Macaca fascicularis: one gene and its partner. The protein of the gene in region 1 purifies or fractionates together with the protein of each later gene. This does not show direct contact. Links are inferred from orthologs where the notes say so. Each region holds a gene or a part of one and is shown on either strand. Other genes may lie near its edges.

The links.
Region 2: the proteins of NSF (region 1) and STX12 purify together in Homo sapiens (co-immunoprecipitation; 4 studies listed by BioGRID and IntAct, with this or other methods). This does not show direct contact. The link is inferred for Macaca fascicularis from reciprocal best matches to the Homo sapiens genes NSF and STX12.

Annotation. Positions count from the first base shown.
Region 1 is NC_088390.1:67,180,404-67,184,819, forward strand, and holds the start of NSF (vesicle-fusing ATPase), read right to left. Parts: upstream 2,881-4,416; 5' UTR 2,839-2,880; coding exon 2,827-2,838; intron 1-2,826.
Region 2 is NC_088375.1:207,290,282-207,294,520, reverse strand, and holds the start of STX12 (syntaxin-12), read left to right. Parts: upstream 1-1,229; 5' UTR 1,230-1,342; coding exon 1,343-1,460; intron 1,461-4,239. UniProt on the Homo sapiens protein: SNARE promoting fusion of transport vesicles with target membranes. Together with SNARE STX6, promotes movement of vesicles from endosomes to the cell membrane, and may therefore function in the endocytic recycling pathway.

The DNA of each region.
Region 1 (4,416 bases):
GGCATGGGAAGGAACAATCAATGTCAGTGTCCAGAATGAACCGGAGGTGGGCCATACGCTCTAAGAAGACTACTTGGGAGGCCGGGCACGGTGGCTCAGGCCTGTAATCCCAGCACTCTGGGAGGCCGAGGCAGGTGGATCACCTGAGGTCAGGAGTTTGAGACCAGTCTGGCCAACATGGTAAAACCCCATCTCTACTAAAAACACAAAAATTAGCCGGGTGTCATGGCGGGCACCTGTAATCCCAGTTACTCAGGAGGCTGAGGTAGGAAAATGGCTTGAACCTGGGAGACGGAAGTTGCAGTGAGCCGAGATCGCGCCATTGCACTCCACGCTGGGTGACAAGAGCGAAACTCCGTCCCAAAAATAAAACCAAAAAAACAACAAAACAAAACAAAACAAAAAAAAAAAAACTACTTGGAAGCTTCCTGCAGTAGTCCAGACCAGAAATGGTGGTAGTCTGGGAAAACGAGGTAAAAATGAAGATGGGGAAAGGTGAACAGACAGGAGATTTTTGGGTTAAAATGACAGAACCCATGTGACCAATCCAGCTAGTCCAGTGGGTGATTTGGATCTAGTTTAAAGCAATCATTCTCCCAAACCAGAGTCTTTAGACCCTAATTAAACACCTTTATGGGGGGCAGGAGCAGAACTGACAAATTTTACCAAATTTTACCTTTGTATAGGGCAGAGGACATGGATAGGGCAGAGGAGAGATATCAAGGGTTACCCACCCTCTCCCTCCCCCAGATTCCCAGCCTATATAACTGGGTGGATGACGGTATCATTCAGTGAGATATTCCTATCTCACTGAATAGGTACAGACAGTCCCTGACTTACAATGGTTTCACTTAACATTTTTCAACTTTACAATAGTGCAAAGGTGAGAGGCATTCAACAGAAACTGTACTTTGAGGACCTACACAACCATTCTGTTTTTCACTATCAGCACAGCAATAAATGACATGAGGTATTCAACATTTTATAATATAGGTTTATGTTAGATGATTTTGCCCTACTGTAGGCTAATGTAAGTGTTCTGGGGATGTGTAAGGAAGGTAGGCTAGGCTAAGCTATGATATTCGGTAGATGGGGTGTATTAAATGCATTTTCAACTTCTGATACTTTCAGCTTACAATGGGTTTATCAGAAGGTAACTCCATCGTTAAGTTGAGGAGCATCTACACAAGTTAGGTGGGCTAAGATCCTAGGTTCGGAATTGAAAAAGCTGAGTTTCAGGGGCCTTGATTTTAATAAGCTGTTGGACGTATTAACCTGAAACTTAAAGGGCAAGTCTGGACTGGGGGTAAAATATTGAGAATCACTGCCATATAGACAGTTGTAGCTATGGGCTTAGAAGAGATTGCCTGAGCAGAAATACCAGCAATGAATAACAAAGTAGAGGAGAGTGAGTCCGCAAAAGAGAGGTCTGAGTCAAACCAGGAGCTAGGCATCCAAGAACACATGTAAAGAGTGCTTTCCATCGAGGAGGCCATGGTCAACAACGTCAAAAGCTGCTGAGACATCAAATAAGGATTGAAAAGTTCAATTAAGTTGAGGGACAGGTTTCAGTGGGATGATGGGACAGAAATCAGACTGCAGTAGGTTGAGAGGTGAGTAGGTGGTAAGCAAATGGAAGACAATAAATATAGACAACTCTATCAAATTTCCTGCTGTAAAGTGGGAAGGGAAAAGGTGACAGCTGTGGGGGTGGGGGAAGGGTTTGTTTTAAGATAAAGAAGCTTGATTAAGAAGGAGCAGATGAATATACAGATAGGGTCTGAAGTATTGGTAGAAGGACTAGCCTTAAAAGGAGAGACCACGGGGAAAAGGAAGAGAAAGAAGCCAAACTAAATGACCTTTAAGATCCCTTCTGACTCTAGAATCTCATGACCTACAAGTCCCTTTAGATAGGGCTTTTGCATATATGCATAAATCTATGCAAACTTATTCAAAAATTCTGGTACAAAGAGATCAGTCAAGCACATCTTTCGCCCCCAGTGACGCAGTTAATGTCCTCAGGTTTATAACCAGTGTAATCTCTGGGCAGGACTCATCCCTTTAGAGCTTTTAGCTCAAGGCAGACTGCAATACAGCACTCAAGCAGCTCTATCTCTCCTCGCCAAATCCATCCTACCCAGCAACCCTAAAGCCTAAAGGAGGAAGTAAATTTAAAACCCTGAAACTACAGCATATCCTGCTGCATTGAAAGCGACTGTCATCCATAAAAACAAAACATGACAGCCCAAATCCATCCTCACTCCAAGCTAAAGCAAATTCCCGCCTGACCTGACAGTTGACAGGTCCCCCAGATGGCAGGGCTCTAACACTAAAAGTCATTGGCACCCCCTCCTCTTTCCCAACGACCTTTAATTTGTGAAGAGCCAGACATGGGTTCCTGATGATCCTTCCTACACCGCTCGCCCCGAATGCAGTAGACGTGCTCCCGGCACTTACTCCGGCGCCCCCTAATAAGCCCTCGCAAGGGGGTGCGGAAAGACCCCCAGAGCCAGTCAGAAGGGGCTTCGGCGACCGCGACCCTGCGGCTATGTGGAGGACAAGGGAAACAAGCCCCAAGGAATGGGAGAGGACGACCTGAGGCGCAGCAGACGCGGGTAACGAGGGGGTCATCTCCCCTCGAGGGGGGTGGAGTTGTTGAGGAGGGCTAATCCTCTGCCACCGCTCCCCTGCTACCCTCGAGTCCCGCTCTGGCCTCGCGCCCCATTGCTCGGATTCACTCCCACTCCCCTGGGGCCTCCTGGACCCCGGAGTGCCCGCGAGCCCGGCGCCCCTGCCTCGAGCCTGGGCTCCCAGACCGGCACTCACCCGGCCCGCCATCTTCGCCGACACGTCCGGCTAGGCGGCTGCAGCTCTGCGTTCGGCAAAGCCCGCCCCCGCCGTGCGCGCGCCCCCGCCGCCCGCCCTCGCGCAGGCGTGCAGCCGCGGTGAGGACGCGCGCGTCCCCGGAGTCCTCGCTCCACAGGGCGCGCGCGCGGGGCGGGCAGAGCGGCGGCGCCATTTTGGCTGGAGCTGCTAGGCGGTGGCAGGTGACCCTGTTTCCAGCGTGCGCGTCCGTCCGCGGCTCGCTGGAGGGCTGTTCCTGCGAGTCTCGTGTCCCCTGGCCGTTCGCGCCGGAATTTGTCGCAAGGGCTTTAATGCTTCGGATCACTTATCCCTTTGCCAGCAGTTGTTCGCCCTCGAATGTCCATTTTGCTCTGTGCTTCCAGACTCTCTGTTTTTTGTTTTTTTTTTTTTAGACGGAGTCTCGCTGTGTCGCCCAGGCTGGAGTGCAGTGGCGCCATCTCGGCTCACTGCAAGCTCCGCCTCCCGGGTTCACGCCATTCTCCTGCCTCAGCCTCCCAAGTAGCTGGGACCACAGGGGCCCGCCACCACGCCTGGCTAATTTTTTGTATTTTTTAGTGGAGACGGGGTTTCACCGTGTTAGCCAGGATGGTCTCGATTTCCTGACCTCGTGATCCGCCCGCCTTGGCCTCCCCACGTGCTGGGATTACAGGCGTGAGCCACCGCGCCTGGCCTCCAGACTCTCTTAAACATGGCCTTGCGGTTGAGAAAACCCGGCGCATTCCCTGGCTTCCCCCAGAAAATATCAGCTCCGAGGAGTTGGTTCTGAGTTCAAATTCTCCATGAATTTTCTCACTTTTCTTTGTAGGCGTACTTGTTTTCCTAGTTGCTGGAATTGTCATCGTTGGCAGTTTTATTTATGTGTAGCCTGGAAAACTCAGTATTTTCTTCAGATTTGAAAGCGAATTGTGATTATTTTTATTAAATATTTGTCTTTAATAAAGGCAACTTGTATCTTCGACAACCTTTTCATTCCCCAGCGTTGTTTCATCTTAGACACTATACATGGTAGAATCTGAATAAAATATAACCTAAATTTCAGCCTTGTTGAACCTCGATGTTTTCACCATACCATTCCTCCACTGGAATCTCAGAATATCTAACTTCAAGCAGCCTGGGAGGAGACAGATTCTGCCGAATGGATTCCCTTTTGCTTTTATTTACCCCACTATCATCTCTCTCTTCATATTTGCGCAAGACAATAGGGAATGATAGGATTTGTTCTCTTTCATTTCTCACAGTTAATTAGAATAAATCGGGTTTTTTTTCCCCCCAGCATGAGAAAAGAAGGGAAATAACTAGAAGAGCTGAGCATGCATAGTGATTTAAATTTGAGAACTAATAAAATCAGACAGTGACCTGAAGATGAACTAGGGACAGAAGAAAAAGTTAACGCCAGCCAGGCGGGGTGGCTCATGCCTGTAATCCAAGCACTTTGGGAGGCCAAGGCGGGCGGATCACCTAAGGTCAGGAGTTCCAGACCAGCCTGGCCAATATGGTGAAACCCCATCTCTACTAAAAATACAGAAATTAGCCGGCTGTGGTGGCGGGTGC
Region 2 (4,239 bases), on another chromosome or scaffold:
CTCTTGAGCCCAGGAGAAGGAGGTTGCAGTGAGCGGAGATCATGCCACTGCACTCCAACCTGTGTGACAGAGCGAAACCCTGTCTCAAAAAAAATAAAATAAAATAAAGAAAAAACCCTAAGGCCATATACAGGCTCATTCACTTGGGGTCTCCTTTCACCCAGGCAAGCAGCTTTCCGTCTTTGCATTTTCCAAAGACTGCAAAGCAGGCTGGGGTGGGGTGGAGAACACAGGAAACAGCCAGTTCCCCTTCACTTCTCACCATCTTGATCTCCTCCCAAACCAAAATCCTATGTCTTTCCTTTTAACATACGCTTACAGAAATGCAGTCTTCTGTAGGAAAATTGAGGTCATGCATTCCAAAGTATTTAAGGGTATGATTTTTAAATTTTAGGAATCTAGTTCTCCAAGAAATCCCGGCTTGGGATATAGATGAACGAGCTATTTGGGAGAGATTTCGATGAGAATGAATTTTAGAGAAGTAGCGAGGTGAGGAGAGAGTCAGCTTAGCGTTTGGCTTTTGCAGTCAAACTTCAGCAAGGCGAAGTAACCTCGCTGGTCTTAATTTTCTCATCGGTAATAGGGAAAATAATAATGCTAACATTGATGAGTTACTTTACTTCAATATTTAAAAAACCGGCTCTCCGTTATCTATTCTAATGATAAAAATGTAGATAGAGCATCGTCCCTTGCTGTGAAAAATCTTATGAACAAGTGAATTGCGGTGAGGATTCACACATAATATGTGCTTAATAAACATTATTATTTTATTGTTTAGATTAGAAGAGGGGTGGAGGGAGAAATGAAAGCGGTTTGGAAACCCCAAATACTACCAAAACCCTGGGGATGGAAGTAGAGAGGAATTTCGGGTTACGATTTGGTTCCTGGTCTGAGTTTCAACGTTGAATACTCCCATATTTGGGCCTGAATTCTCAAAACAGAATAGGATGTAAGGGCTGAGATCATCTGGTACAGTTTTATGCAAATCGAAAATTCTTGCCTCTTGTCAATGTGCCCTGGCGAGAAACAACACCTCCACCCAAGCTCATCCAATCTCAGCCCCAACTAGGTGACGTCATCTCTCCGCCCCGCAACCCCCAAGCCCCGGGCAGTCCTGTCTCTAAGATACAGTCCCAGCCCCAGTCCCAGCGGCGCCTGCGCACTTTGAACAGGGGCGGGGAGGACGCGTGCGCGCTGCGTGGGGGCGGGACTAGTGCGCACGCAGCCTTAGCTTCTTCCCCGCCCTTGGTCTTCCCAGTTTCTCCGTCAGCCTGCGGGTCCCGGCTGGCGGCTGCTTCCGGTAGGAGAGTGGTGTAGGGCGAGCAGGTCTCAGCTCCTCGTCATGTCATACGGTCCCTTAGATATGTACCGGAACCTGGGGCCCTCAGGGCCCCAGCTCCGGGACTTCAGCAGCATCATCCAGACGTGCAGCGGCAACATCCAGCGGATCAGCCAAGCCAGTGAGCCGGGGTACCGAGCTGGGGGGCGGGAGCTGTCCCCGGGACAGGCCTGGGTGAGACTGCCGGGTCGCGGAGCCCGGCTGGGACTACGGCCGAGGCCACACCTGGGGCTGTCTCGGGCTGTCCACCCTGGGGGCGGTGGGCTTGCCTCCCCCAGTCTGTCAGGCCCGGGCTGCCCGAGGGTCCCCGGCCCCAGCTGAAGCTTGAGCTGCTTCTCTGGAGTTCTGCCCCCACGGTGCTGGGACCAAAACAGCCCGAGGGTGGGAAGGGGAGTGTGTGTCATCTCGAGAGCTGTGAGTGCGTTGACTTGGCGCAGTGGTCAGCCGAGTTTCTCCTGTCATCCACCTTCCTCCCCACCCACCTCGCTTTCCTCTTAGGCCAGTTTGGATGGGGTTGTTTACTGATTTAGGCTTTAGGTTTACATTCTGCTCAGCCCCTGGCTCCTCGGAAATCAGCAACTTTCAATTAAGGGAAGTGGAGAGTGCATGTGTTTGGATGACTTCATACACAGTTCTTCCTGTAATGAATTCGGAAATCAGACACAATGACTGGTATTTGAGAGGTGGGATGACTTCTGTTTTAATAAAGATAATTCACCAGCAACATTTCAACTTACATTATTTTGTCTTTTGTAACAAAGCATTGGGGTGTATTTTTGGATTTCAGGCAGATGAGGCTTTTGTTTTCCTTCCCTACTTAGCTGCTCTTGAACAAATCTGGTACACAGGGAAGCTAAGAGACTTAGCCACAACCACAGAGCAAGTAATGCATGGTAGAGTTGTTGGTGGAATTCAGAATGGTATTGCTTGTCTTAAAACTCCCTCCTCCCCATTAGGGTCTGAGTGAAACTATAGCTGAATGAGTCAAATACAGGGTGTTTCTTGGGCTTGAAAATCATCTTGGAGCCTTATAAACAGGAGATCAGCAACAGCTTTACTTGGAAAGAATGGTGGTCATCATCCTTATTGTTTATTATTGTGTTTTGTGAGCTTGGTGTACTCTGTTAATAGGTAGAACTAGTTAGTCCTGAATTACAATTCTGTATTTTAAATAATATCACTTTGCTTTAGTTTTTAAACTTTAAAAAATTTTTCTTTTTTGTAGAGATGAAGTCTTGCTGTGTTGGCCAGGCTGGTCTCAAACCCCTGGGCACAAGCACTTCTCCCACCTCAGCCTCCCAAAGTGCTGGGATTACAGGCGTGAGCCACTGTGCCCAGCCTAATTTTTTTAATTTTAAAAAATTAAATATTTTAAATTTGTTTTTAAGAGACGGAGTCTAGCTCTGTCACCCAGGCAGAGTGCAGTGATCTGAGTGAAGTAGAACGATCCTAGCTGGCTATAACTTTGAATTCCTGATCAGCTTGCTGAGTCGCGAGGACTACAAGGATGCATCTACCATGCCAGGCTAATTTTTAAATTTTTTGTAGGGATGGGGTCTCACTATGTTGCCCAGGCTCACTTTGCTTTTAAATCTAAATGTATATTGTAGAATTTGAGAAGTTTCTGATCAAAAGCAGTTGAGACTCTGGAAGTGAAAGGAAGGGTATGTGACCTCTTAAAATCCAGAACTAAAAAAAAATAATATGACCACTGGTTAGAAAGTGTAGTACTTTTTGTACCAGTTTCCTTTTGTGAAGGAGCTGTAATACAGGTTAGATCAGAAAATTCTAGTTCAAGGCTGAAATTTTCTTGTTGAAGCTAAATCTGATTTTAATATCTATTTGCAAAATATTCATTCAACTTGTATTCAATATTATATATATCATATATAATATTATATTTAATATATAATATACACATGAAGATGGATAGATGGATACATGTTGAATGAATATTATATACATGCTGATATATATATATATATATATATAAAACCAGAATACTCCCAAATGTAGATCCGACATACATTTTTAAATTTACATTTAAATTTTTGTTTTGAGACAGGGTCTCACTCTGTCACCCAGGCTGGAGTGCAGTGGCATGATCTCAGCTCACTGCAGCCTCAACTTCCCTGGCTCAAGCAGTCCTCCTGCCTCAGCCCTACAAGTAGCTGGGACTACAGGTGTGCACCACCATGCCCGGCTAATTTTTTTTTTTTTTCTTTTGAGATGGAGTCTTGCTGTGTCGCCCAGGCTGGAGTGCAGTGGCTCAATCTCCGCTCACTGCAAGCCCCGCCTCCTGGGTTCACACCATTCTCCTGCCTCAGCCTCCTGAGTAGCTGGGACTACAGGCGCCCACCACCACGCCCGGCTAATTTTTTGTTTTTTTTTTTTTTTTTTTTTTGAGACGGAGTCTCGCTCTGTCGCCCAGGCTGGAGTGCAGTGGCCGGTTCTCAGCTCACTGCATGCTCCGCCTCCCGGGTTTATGCCATTCTCTTGCCTCAGCCTCCCAAGTAGCTGGGACTACATTCTCCTGCCTCAGCCTCCCAAGTAGCTGGGAGACGGGGTTTCACCGTGTTAGCCAAGATGGTCTCGATCTCCTGACCTCGCGATCCGCCCATCTCAGCCTCCCAAAGTGCTGGGATTACAGGCTTGAGCCACCGCGCCCGGCCAATTTTTTGTATTTTTAGTGGAGACGGGGTTTCACCGTATTAGCCAGGATGGTCTCGATCTCCTGACCTCGTGATTCACCTGCCTTGGCCTCCCAAAGTGCTGGGAATACAGGCATGAGCCACTGCGCCTGGCCCATGCCTGGCTAATTTTTATATTTTTTGTAGAGATGGAGTTTCACCATGTTGTCCAGGCTGGTCCTGAACTCCTGTTCTCAAGTGATCCACCCA